Coturnix japonica: one gene and its partners. The protein of the gene in region 2 binds, or shares a complex with, the protein of the main gene of each other region. Links are inferred from orthologs where the notes say so. Each region holds a gene or a part of one and is shown on either strand. Other genes may lie near its edges.

Region 1 (4,299 bases), on a different chromosome or scaffold from region 2:
AAATATTTTCTTTAACAGATAATAGAACCAGCAGCAGGAAGAAACACCCACCCAGAATGGCATTCTCCTGTACATGTGTGTGAATTAAACGTGCAAGGCTGTATTAGCCTGTATGATGACCAGGGTCTCAATACTGTGCCATTTGTACCTGTTAATCCAAAGCAAGCTTTATATCAAAAATAATACTGTTAAATCCTTCTCAAAATCTTCCAGTTAAACAAACTCTGAACCACACAGCATCACTGTCAAACCCACTTCATAATCCCTGTTTCCTTTCATGAGCATTCAGAACAAATGGCAATTGCCACATCCTGTTGTCTTTGCTGAGAAATGGCAGCACTTAACTCCCAAAACAACAAAGAGAAACACGCACAGGAGACCTGAAATTATATTTATAGGAATTATGTACCTTCTATAAACTAAAAATTCAGTTTAATTTTTTGATACAGAACTGATTGTTAATAATCGCTAATTAATTACGTACTTCCACACAGCTCTATGACACATTCATTACACTAAAGCTTTCCTGATAAGATGTTGTAAAGGAGAAACACTTCCATTTTCACACACCAAACAGGTTGTTTTCCAACCAAATATCCCCTAAGCAATCTCCCAAATCATAAATACAGATAAAACAACGGTTTTAAATCAACAGGATATACAAGTGCTCTGTTTTGGATGCAGAATCCCAAGTCACAAGCAAATCTGTACATCTACATCTCATTCCTGCCATATTAAAATAAATAAATAAATAAATAAAAGTATCACATCCGTGATAAGATTGACCTTGAACACATAGTCTAAAAATCACTATCTTGCAACAGCACCAAATATTATGAACGCGGAATGCATATGTACTTGTTTCATAGCACAACATATTATGAAACAAATAAAATCAAGAATGTTTCCATTACACTGAAGGCAAAGCAGCAGAACCTGAAATTGCTCTACATCAGTTTTCGAACCAAGCAATACTGCAACATCATACATAAAGAAGGACAAGCGTGATCCCTCGTTCTTTAGTCAAAGATCAGCCTTGATAAATCCAGTGTTAGATTACAAATCAGTTACATAGCAAAAGAGATGGAAGATCTACTGGCCTTTAGAGACAAAAAAATAAGTACCTAGGGGAACAGTGGATAGATTTGCATTGTTTTCCAATGCACTACAAAATAACAACTGAATCATGGTTTTTATCTAGTTGGATATGTAATGTATTTTAGATAATTTTCACAAACATTATTCTTAGTTAGTACTTAATCTACATAAGAGGCAAGGAAAATAATGTTTTAGTAAATAATTGTTATGAAACCTCAGAAACATAAGAATGTATTAAGAATTTGGTATAATAAAACCTCACTTTACAAGTCAAACATCTGTGACTGGGCGATCATCTAAAGGGCACTATCCGAAGCAAGTATTTCCTCCCAAAGTTTTGAGAGTAATACATGCTACATTACAGAGCGCTGATAGGATAAACAGCTACAGAGGTACACTGCCGTAACAGACAAAATACATGTCCTGCTGTAATGGCCTAGTAAGCCCCCTTCTTGTATCCTACAGTCGTATGGTGCAATGTGAAAAACAATTCCTTCTGACTTAGAATCTAGAGGCAGGGGATAAACTCACACACACTGTTAAGTAAAGGACAAACTCCTCCTGCAACCAAACACATTTCAAACACTGCACACTTATTTTTCTCACTATTTTACATCAAAGTTATTCCTGATCTTTGAAATTGTTTTATAAACTTCACAAATTATCCCTTGGGATTAAAGTAACTTTTCAGGATCTGCCATATTGGTTTCAAGAGTTGTTATCTTCAGATGTCCTTCTAATCACTGCACTGCAAGTCATTGCTCAATATATATTGCTCATATATACATACATTGTGTATATATTATATATACATATATACACACATTTATTTTTCCTGTTTCCAGTGCAACTTGATGGCATAAATCTTGCTTAAGTTGCTATGACAGATTGCAAACTGTGATAGACGAAGACCTGGCAAACGTTCTACCATCTCAATACAGGGGAGAAAGGGACCAGAAGCATCAGTCAGAAGTGCAAGATGGATATCTGAAGAGGATAAGCTGCTAAAACATCACTAGTCTACCAGAACTCAAATGCTGGCAGGTAAGAATGTAACTGGACAGCTGGAAATGACTTTGAGTGAGTAATCTGAAGAGTCACAACAGCTAAGACAGGTAACCAAACCCCTACCCACCCATCGTTCAGCACAGCATGCAGTGAAAGGGCTTTAAGTTGTCACACAAAGAACACACTCCAAATATCAGTGTTTCCAAAACCTTTATTCTGTTCCATAATTACTGCAATCCTCCTGAGGGCATGCAGCAGCTCTAATATCAACTCTATTACCTCCCCAAGACACAAGCTCACCACCTGACGCCAGACCTTCAAACTGCCATCTAACTGCAAAAGCACGACTGCACTTCTATTGCCTCCACAGAAAGACATCTGTGCTTCCATGAAGGAAGATGAGTTCACTTGTAAATTATTGATGGCAATTATTAAGTTGTTACTGGCAGCTTCTCTCGATAAGAGCCTCCCACCACTGCCGCGCTATCTGCTACATAATTCATCAACACTAAAACCCCAAGCAGCCTACAGTACCACGCACGCAACCCCACCGTTCCCGTTGTCACCTGCAGACATGACAGCCTCCCTTACTTACTGCAGAATTTTCTCCCTATACTTTAAACCCATCCCCGAAGAGTCCCACGGACAGAGAAGCAGAGATGCCCGCCCAAAAAGGCGAGTACAGCAGGAGCGGGTCCACGGCTGACCCGGCCCCGGTCCTCCCTTCCTCCCACCCTGTACTCACCTGCCCCGCCAGCCCGGCCAGGGAGCGCAGGGCGCTACTCGCCACCTCCGAGGCCACCAGCTTGGCTCCAGCCTCCGGAGAGCGCTCGCCGAGCTCCGTCAGGCCGGGCGCCGCCGCCATGACAGCAGCACGGGCCGCAGCCGGCAGCGACATGCCCCGCGTCGCTCAGCGATGACGAACGATGATGGACAGGAGCAGCAGCCAATGTTGCGGCCGTGATGGCGGCTCTCCGGGTGTACGGTGTTGGCAGCGTCCGACTGCTGCCCAGCACCTAAAGGCCCCAGGACTCCCAGCACAACTCATCACCTTGCCCTTCTCTTTGCCTCCTGTCCCTTTCTATCCTTCAGCTGCGTCCACAGTGGTAGTGCCTTGACTGAGTGCATTCATGGAAAGAGGGACGTGTGTTAATTCTAAGCATACTAAGCATACCAAATGATTGTACTTCTTTTTCAGCCTTACTTTTCTGCTTATTACTAACTTTTGTACACTCATGAGTTTATCTTCAAAGCCTTGACTCCTCAAGTTGCAGCAGGGTAGCTCTGTCGCCATACAATGAGGAACAAGTTTGTCACACTATATTTGTAGGGCAAGACTACTTCCTCCTCTGCAATCTGCTCACCTTCTTTCTTAGGACAGCAGCAGTGCTGATGAAAGTTTTCTACCTGGTGTTTCTTTTTGTCACTTAATTTCTGTCTTTTACCATTTTCCTGTTTCCTCCCCCAGATTTCCTTTACAATCATTTCTCTTGATTCATTTCATACTTCCTGTCTCTTGAAAAGGGTATTCCTAGGCTTATGAGCCAATTCTCCATCTCTGGTATAAAGGGAGACCACATAGCTCTGCAGGACAGACCAATCTCGACATTTTAGCTTTTTTCCCTATCATGCATTTTTCATGTCCAAAGGGAGATCATTTAGTAAACAACAACAGAATACTGAGGGTAGAAGCAAATCCAATTCTGCAAGTCACAATCAGACAAGATGGGCAGAGGATACCCACTTATCAACCAGACTTATGTTTTCCATTTCTTGAGGTATTAAGCCTTCTGAGATGCTGGGAAAGCACTGAAATCTTTGGTATTGTTTCATTTTCAGTCCCATCACACTTGGTTTTTGTTGTTGTCGTTGTTGTTTGGATGGTTGGTTGGTTGTTGGTCTTTCATTCCAAGTTCCAGCAGCAATTCCAGCAGCACAGCAGCAGGTTTTAGCTGCCATGGCTGACTTAACCCTTTGAAAATGGTAGCATGTCTGAACTGCTATAGGATCATGAGCAGGTTCTGGAGCTTCAACCAAAAGGGAATGTCTGCTCAATTCCAGAGGCAAATTACTGACTTAAGAGCTAATGATTTAAAAAATATATTTCATGGAAATATGTGCTTTACAAGAGATATGTTACCCAAACTGAGCTACATCACACTTGGCTGGATTCAGATCATGTGAACCATTATG
Region 2 (3,726 bases):
GATGCAGTAAAATGTTAACCTGAATTCTGCATCAGAAAATAAAGGTGTGAAAATATACCTAATATTATTTAAAAGGAAAAGACTCATTTAAAATAGAAAGGTGTGAAGGTGTTACAGTACAAATTAGAAAAGCCAACACTGCACATTAACATTGTATCACTAGACTAGATTTTCTACCTTTGGTACTTAAACCTTCACAGAAAACCACTTCCTTAATCAAACCTTGCCTAACACATATCATATAGTAGCTGTGAAAGGTTTTTCGTTTGTTTTAACTTAAATATTAAAATACATTTCTGACTTTTCACTGTATTAATGCATTTAAGGAAGTGTTCACATTTACTCTATATGAAACTTAACGCATCTCACACTTAAAAGTCACTAAGAGACTCAGACCTGAATATATGCCAATTGTACCTTGTTCAGATCGTTATGTAAAAATGGACATGATGTTTTCCACTTGTATCCTTACACAAACAGACTTGCTGCCCTCCTCAGGACCCACGACTAGAGCAACCTGCTGAGGTCTCAGGTTAAAATAAACAAACTGCATTGTTACAGAGCTATGAGATCATCTACAGCAGTACACAAGTGGCTTTTCTAGTCTGCTCAGATTAGTGTACCAGAAGATATGACAGTATTACTTCAAGTAACACATTAAAACCCAGTAATGGACACTACTGTGCTTTATTTCAACACAAAGAACAGCCGCTCATCCATTAATCAACAGAATTTTCAAATCAACTATCAAAAGGACTACTACAGTTCTGTTCCATGTCTTACCCATCACTTTGGGAAATCCTTTGTCAAAAACCTGGACTTACCTACAAACCAATTTGAGTGATGAAAATGTTATCTTTGAAAGTATTCTAATAATCCAGTGGCAACCTAGTGTGGAAAACATTAGCATTACGCTGACAACGATGACTTATCAAGGTTAAATAAAATCCCTCTTTTATTGTAAGCATGCTCGGAGCTTCAGCTTTTGCCTTCACAGGCTTGAATCATTCCCAGTTACATCAGCGGAACCAGAACAGTTCTGTTTCATCAAGTTCCAGTTTTATATTTCAACAATATGAACATATCTGGACTACGCAATAACATCAACAGGTAACATTAAATCGGAGCAAAACAATAAGAAGAGTTAGTTTTCCAAAACTGGCAGTCTTCCAAGTAAAATATTCAGTCAGGACTGACTGTCAAAGGACGTAGTAATAAAACCATGGGTTTATTTTTTTCCATCCCATACCAAAAAGGATTCAATTTGTACAACTCCTATTAAACATACGTTTTCACCAAGCTAGGAAAGGTATCATTTTCAAATGGTAACAAGTGTGGTATTGGAGCATTTATAGTATTTATTGCCATATATATCCGCATTTTAAAAAGAACAAAGAATTCAAGACTGTACTATGCTGAACTTGACTTCTTTCCCATTAACAGTTTACCTCTACTGTACCACTCCCCCCAAAAACAATTAAAAATTCTAAGTAAGATTTTATAGTTTAGTTAAAAGGGAAGAAATGCAAATGTGGATTTAGAGCTTTTTGTATAAATCTCACTGTATTTTATAAACTTGTTGTTCATTGTAACACTGTTTATTGATCAAATAAGTGACGCACTGCTATCTAAAATTTCCATATACACCATTAAAAATCCAAAGTCGATATGATACTGAACCTTAAATCTTCAAGAGTTCAAAAAAAGACAGTTTATACATGTACAGCACACAACAGCAGACACCCCTAGAATACCAACTGCCAGTCCATGATGCATACAAACTTACAGGTAAGCATTCATTTCACTGTTTTCATTGTGCAGGAAAAATATTTCTTAGTGAAGACAGAAACCCAGCTGGTGAATTTCAGATATCATCTTCATCATCTTCATCCTGAGAAGATCCTGCCTGATTGGATGCACTGGCTGAGGCAGCAGCAAGTTGTGCCTGTTGAGCTGCTTGTTGCATCTGCAGCCACTCTTGCTGTGCCAGTTCTGCTTGCTGTTGTCTAGCCTAAAGACATGAATTTAATTGTTAAGGTCATACTGTAACTTGTGAAGAATCTCTAGAGCACCTTAGCTATAAAAGCAGTTTTATCTGCACCTGTAGGCTCCTTTTACATAATTTTTTATTAACTGTGCACACACATGTCTAGAAAACATGTCTAGAAATACCTTTGTTATTTGTACTAGGATGTCCAGCTATATTTGCTCTTCCTCTGAAGAGGCCAACATTTAGAGGATTTATACTTTCCAGAACAAGTACATTAGTCCACACCTCTTTAGTTTCATTGTAAGGGTTGTACTGAACCACTTACTAATGAAAAGATAAAGCAAGACAAAGCAATAAAATAATTTACGGCTCAGTTTCAAGGCCTCTTAGCATTCAGCCACCATTCAGAGACGAGAACAGTCCTACACTGCTGATTACAAATAATGTTGGCAATTACAAATTCATCCCTCTCACCACAGCATGTAGAAATACAAAAAGAAAACAAACAAAAAAACCACCAAAAAACAAAAACAAAAACAAAAAAAAACCAAAAACCAACCCACAGAAATGAAGAAATCCATTATCTCACTCTGCTAAGCCATCCTGGGAAAACAGAGCAATCTGAGCTCTTCTTAAATAAGGAGAGGCAGGTTGAGATGCCTTTGTTACAGAAAGGCATGTTATCTGTACTTCAAGGTACAAGATGTTCTAACCATGTTCTTCAAGTAGCTCACATGGTGCCTTCCCATTTTCCCATTTAGAGCTTTTTTTCTGTTTTTCAGCAACTATTTTTGATTTCAACACTGTGTTAACGTTTCATTTTCTGTTTTGAAAGTTCTCTAAATTAAAAACCTTCAGTATTCTTTATTTGCTCACTGAATTTTCCTTTCTTTTTCCAAAGCCTCAACAAACCAGCTTTCCAAACTTCAAGACACCAAAAGATGGTACTTCAGAAAATGATCAAAACCAGTTTACCTATTTAGTATACATGAAAAAAAGAAGTCTTCCTATACAATAAGAAGTGTTGCAATTTCTCAGCCTGTTCAACACTTCCCAATGAGGACTTCTCAGTATTTCTAAGTTTAAGCAGTAGCCAAGCTAAAAAGGTTGGAAAACAATTCAAGATGCTGTAAATCTGCAGCATCAGCTGTATTGACTAAGAAGCCTTAACAGCATCTGGGGTAAACTGAACTCATTTATCGAGCAACCCATTTACACAGGAACTTTACAAGCAACCTTTAGTAAGGAAGCCTCAAAAAGAACACTTCTGTTGATGACCTCATCTTCCACACTTTTAGACATGCACGAATATCAGGAAGAATCATTAGACTAACTTTAAACATTCACCACCATCCTCATACCAACTTACGTATAATTTAATTGTGCTTAATTCAAGTTAATTAAGTGTAATTTAGTATTAAGTAATACTTGCCACGTTGTAACATAACACTTTTAAAAATCATATAAAAATCAACACAATTTTGTTAAACCTGCATGTACTGTCTTTAATTTAGGCACTAAGGCACAGTATTATGGAATTTAAAACAACCACCAAAACACACTTCACGTGGCCCATTCTGCCTACATAAGGTAGCAATGGTTTTTAGCATTCTTGTTTTATGTTACTTAGGAGGTGGTACCCCCTCAACTATCTTTGTTGTTCTGAATATCCATCATCATTTTGTAGACCAAAGTTTTTGAACAATGGTTTGAAAAAAAAACATGATTTAAGCTGA
Region 3 (4,264 bases), on a different chromosome or scaffold from region 2:
ACCCTAAAAAACAGCATGACCCATAACCCATGACCCAGAACTCAGCATAACCCTCAGACACCCCAGACCACCAAAAATACCCCAAACAGCCCCAAATCCCCGAAGTACCCCAAGCTGCTCAAATCACTTCTTCTTGGTCTCCTTGCAGGCGACGACGTAGCGCTGCGCCACGTTCAGTGGCGGTGAGTAGCCATCAGCATATGACGTGTCCTCAAACAGCACCGAGTAGTCATCCTGCGGCTGTGTGCGGGGCAGAAAACAGCATCAGTAATGAGTGAGAGCTGGGGGCACGGCAGGGCCCATCTCCAGGGCAAAATGTGGCCGTACCCGCTGCGGGGGTGCATGGATGAGGGCACGGTAGAAGCAGGTGGTCTGTGGGTAAAGTGCCAGCACCAGCTGCTCGCGCTGGAACAGCGCTTCGGGGTCGGTCTCAGGGTTGGCCTTCCACTGTGGCAGAGGGATCACACGGCGCCGGCTGAGCGTGTGTCTCCTGCAGAAGGGAGGAGCAAGCAATGGGTACGGGCTGGGGATGGGGGAGATGAGGGGTGTGGAGAGCAGGTTTGGGGGCAGGGGTTGAGAAGGGCTTTGTGGTGTGGCGGGTATGGGGAGGGAGTTCGGGAGGAGCTAGAGGGGTCTGGGGGGGTGCGCCGAGGGGATCTGGGAAGATTTGGTGAGAGCAAGAAGAGTTCTGTGGAGAACTGGGAGCGTGGGGGACATGGGGAGGGGGGCTGTGGGGAGTTGGGGTGTTCTGTGGGGTTTGAGGAGGTTTGGAGGGAGTTAGGAAGAGTTAGGGGGTGATAAGGAGGGAGTTGGAGGGATTGGGAGGGCTTGGAGAGGAGGCTGGGGGCTGCCTGAGAGCGGGGGCAGCTGTGGGGTTAGAGAGGGCAGTTGTGGAGTGGGGGTGCTCACTCTTTGCCCTCCTCATCGATGTCGTCCACTTCATACCTGGGGTGGGGAGAAGCGAGAAAGGAGAAAGGACTGAACTACAGCAAAACAAGGGGAAATGCTGCGATCCCAGAGCACACCACGGCCCCACAAGCAACAAGTGCAGTGCTCCACACCATGCCCCACACCCCCAAAGTGCCCAAACTGCCCCCCCGGCCCCACTCAAACCCCCCCCAACACACACATATTCCTGCTCCCCTCCACACCCAACCTGCCGCCCCCTTGCCCCCTCCACGCACTTGTTGGCAGCATGGCTGTAGCTGACCACCTCCGCCAGGATCCACTGCTCATCGCCGTCCACGGCCTTGACACGTGCCGCCACTTTGTCCCCAGGCTTGGCCACGTAGTCCCCAGCTGCCGGCATGGCACCGCACAGTGGGGGGGGCCTGAGAATGAGGTGGGGGTGGGTTGGTGGGTGGGAGTTAGAGGGTGAGGCTGGGCTGGGGTTTGGGGTTCTGCAGTGCAGTCAGGGGGGTGTTGGCAATCCACAACAGGGGTCAGGGAACAGGGCCTGGGGTTTGATGGGGGGAGAGGGGAGGAAGGGTGAGGGCACGGTCAGGATGGGGTCTGGATGGGGTTGGGTTTCCCAGGGTGGGGCTGAGATTTGCTATGGATCCAAATGTCAGGCATGGGGTTAGGGCCGTGCTTTGGAATCTGAGTCCAGAACCAGAACTCCAGTGGAACTGGGAGCTCAGGGCACAATGTGGGGTATGATGGAGTGTGGGTCTGGGAGTTTAGGGCACCCTGTGGGGAAGAGTGCACTTGTGGGGTCGGGAATACCTACTTGTCACCTGGCTTGCCGATCCAGAGCGGCAGCGTCATGGCTGACTGCTGCAGCAGTGTCATCAGCACGCCACGACGCATCGTCTTGCGCGGCGGCTCCGCGTCACTGTAGATCCCTGCGATCTTGGCAGCTGTGACACAGTGGGGGGGTGGACACAGTGACACCAAGATTGGGAGGGCAGTTGTGGGGGGGGGCATACAGAGGGAGATTTGGGCGTAATTCCAGGGATTTGGGGTGTAAAAATAGAAAAAGAGAGGTCAGGGACACGTGGGGGTCAGGGACACTTGGGGGCTCAATGGAGGCACGTACCAATGCGGCGCTCTTCCAGCAGAGACTTGATCTCAGCGATCTTGTCCAGCGCCTTGCGCAGGATGCTGCAGAGCCATAAGGGCAGCTGTCATGTATGGGGGGCACGGGGCAGGGTGTAGGGTTGGTGGGGTGCAGGGTTGGTGGGGGTGTAGGGTTGGTGGGCTGTAGGGTTGGTGGGGTGTAAGGTTGGTAAGGGTGTAAGGTTGGTAAGGGTGTAGGGTTGGTAAGGGTGTAGGGTTGGTAAGGGTGTAGGGTTGGTAAGGGTGTAGGGTATGGGGATGTGGGTATGAAGGGGCCGCCCTACTTGCACTCGGCCTCAGCATCTGCCTTGGCGGTGGTGTACAGCCCGCGCAGCTTCGTGCGGTAATACGGCGAGACTGGAGGGGGGAGGTAAGAACGCTGTGAAACCAAGTCCCCATCGAACACGCTGTCCCCAAACCCCGCCCCGTTCCCGAGCCCGGCCCCAAAGCTGCCCCTGCCCAACACTCCTCTCTGAACCCCTTCCCCTCCCCATTGCCCTGCTCTCCTCCCAGCCCTGCCCCCTCATCCCCCTTCACGCCGCCCCTCGGCCCGGCCCCGCTCTCACTCTTATTCTCGGTCTGCATCCTCTCGTGCGTCTTCTGGATGTTGATGAGGTTGTGCTCGCTGCGGGACCGCTCCTCCTGCAATGCAGCGGGATGACGGGGGCTGCCCGCACCACCACCCCACCTCCAGCCCCACAGCCCAAATCCGGACCCGTGCGACAAAGCGCCGCCCCGAACCAGCACCCTACAGCCCCGCACCGCCCCCAGAGCGGCCCGATGGTGTCGGTGCGGCAGAGCAGCGCCCCGCTCGCTCTGTGCGTCCAGCCCCGCACCTGCGTGTGCCCCAGCAGCCGCTGCAGCTCGGACAGCAGCTCCGCGATCCGCGAGTCGGCCGACACCAGCGCCATGGCCGCACCGACGGGCCGCGGGGCGCTCTGCGCATGCGTCAGGCGACACAGAGCACTGTGCGTCAGCCCGCACATCGCACTGCGCATGCGTCCCGGTGCAGTTCCGCGCTTTGGCCACACGGAGGCAGCACCGACGTAAGAAACGAGTTCGGCGCTGAACGGAGCCGGTCACGGCAGCGCTGCGCCCCAATGAAGGGATGGGTCAGATCGACCCCAATGAAGGGATGGTACAGATCGACCCCAATGAAGGGATGGTACAGATCGACCCCTGCTGCAAACGGGAACGGCACGACACGGGAGCAGTATTACATGACCATAAACAACATCTACTTGCTGCAGAAAACAAAGGTTATGATAAAAGATAATCAGCATACATGGCCGGGGGTGACGGTTTCCTTGCAGACAGGCAGGACTAGACTGATTTCCTTGTTCTCACATTGGTGGCGGCTCTTGCCTTGCAAAGCAGCTGTCAGATCAATGAGCACAGGTGTCCTGTCTGCAGAAGTCCAAGATGCCTGCAAACCAATAGGAGAACATGGCCTTAAAGATGTGATCGGCCCTGAAAGTTGCTGCTGTTCACTACAACACAACAGTGCTGGTATTCCCTTGTTGACTTTCAGTCCTCTAACAGCTATTAAACTTCCTAATCCATTGTGCAAGCTGCAGCTACTTCAGCACAGATCCCCAGGGCCCCTAACAAGCTCAGCCCTGACTGATAAGCAGTTTCATTTAGTTTTAGTCAGAACTAAATACAAAATAGCTTTCAGTATATAGTAGTGAACAAACTCTCATTTAAGTACAATGAGATCTTTAACTCTGGTGTAGTTTTTAGTGCAGTCTTCTATCAGAAACAGAGTTATTTCCCCTAACCCTGACATACCCAGACCTCTGGGATAGGAAGAACAAGTTTCTGAGTGGAAGACAATTCCACTTCAATAACTTTATATTTGCTCTGACCTGCATTGGTTGTATCATCCCCACAGACCCCCATTTGCAGTGCTTACAGATAGGAGCTGCAAGAGTTCTCAACACTCCAGATATTACACTCCACTAACAAGGTTATGTAGAAATTACCTCTGAAGTTGGCATAAACCAGAGGGCCGTGCCTGTGCACACAAAACTTCCCTCTGCTTTGCATTTTTCTCTAATTCAGAATGAAGAATTTGACTTTACCTGCAGGTGTACAATTAAACACTGACTCTGCCAGCTGAAAGAAAGGTTCTCCAAGGATTTCCCGATAGCTCATGTGAGTTGCAGGAACAAGGGACTGAGTAGCATCTTTGAAAAGCAGATCA

Evidence for each region. The genes of interacting proteins can lie anywhere in the genome.
Region 1: DR1 (region 2) and MBIP share a complex: the UniProt entries of both Homo sapiens proteins name them as parts of the ADA2A-containing complex. The link is inferred for Coturnix japonica from reciprocal best matches to the Homo sapiens genes DR1 and MBIP.
Region 3: DR1 (region 2) and SGF29 share a complex: the UniProt entries of both Homo sapiens proteins name them as parts of the ADA2A-containing complex. The link is inferred for Coturnix japonica from reciprocal best matches to the Homo sapiens genes DR1 and SGF29.

The regions. Positions count from the first base shown.
Region 1 is NC_029520.1:33,103,261-33,107,559, forward strand, and holds the start of MBIP (MAP3K12-binding inhibitory protein 1), read right to left. Parts: upstream 3,026-4,299; 5' UTR 3,005-3,025; coding exon 2,852-3,004; intron 149-2,851; exon of another isoform or gene 76-148; coding exon of another isoform or gene 52-75; intron 1-51. UniProt on the Homo sapiens protein: Inhibits the MAP3K12 activity to induce the activation of the JNK/SAPK pathway. Component of the ATAC complex, a complex with histone acetyltransferase activity on histones H3 and H4.
Region 2 is NC_029523.1:12,067,207-12,070,932, forward strand, and holds part of DR1 (protein Dr1), read right to left. Parts: intron 2,012-3,726; coding exon 1,865-2,011; 3' UTR 1-1,864. UniProt on the Homo sapiens protein: The association of the DR1/DRAP1 heterodimer with TBP results in a functional repression of both activated and basal transcription of class II genes.
Region 3 is NC_029530.1:7,882,695-7,886,958, forward strand, and holds the start of SGF29 (SAGA-associated factor 29), read right to left. Parts: upstream 3,026-4,264; 5' UTR 2,970-3,025; coding exon 2,895-2,969; intron 2,701-2,894; coding exon 2,625-2,700; intron 2,416-2,624; coding exon 2,343-2,415; intron 2,104-2,342; coding exon 2,039-2,103; intron 1,860-2,038; coding exon 1,730-1,859; intron 1,332-1,729; coding exon 1,185-1,331; intron 946-1,184; coding exon 910-945; intron 491-909; coding exon 328-490; intron 241-327; coding exon 124-240; 3' UTR 1-123. Other genes in the region: melanotransferrin-like, read right to left, coding at 3,444-3,484, 4,143-4,264. UniProt on the Homo sapiens protein: Chromatin reader component of some histone acetyltransferase (HAT) SAGA-type complexes like the TFTC-HAT, ATAC or STAGA complexes.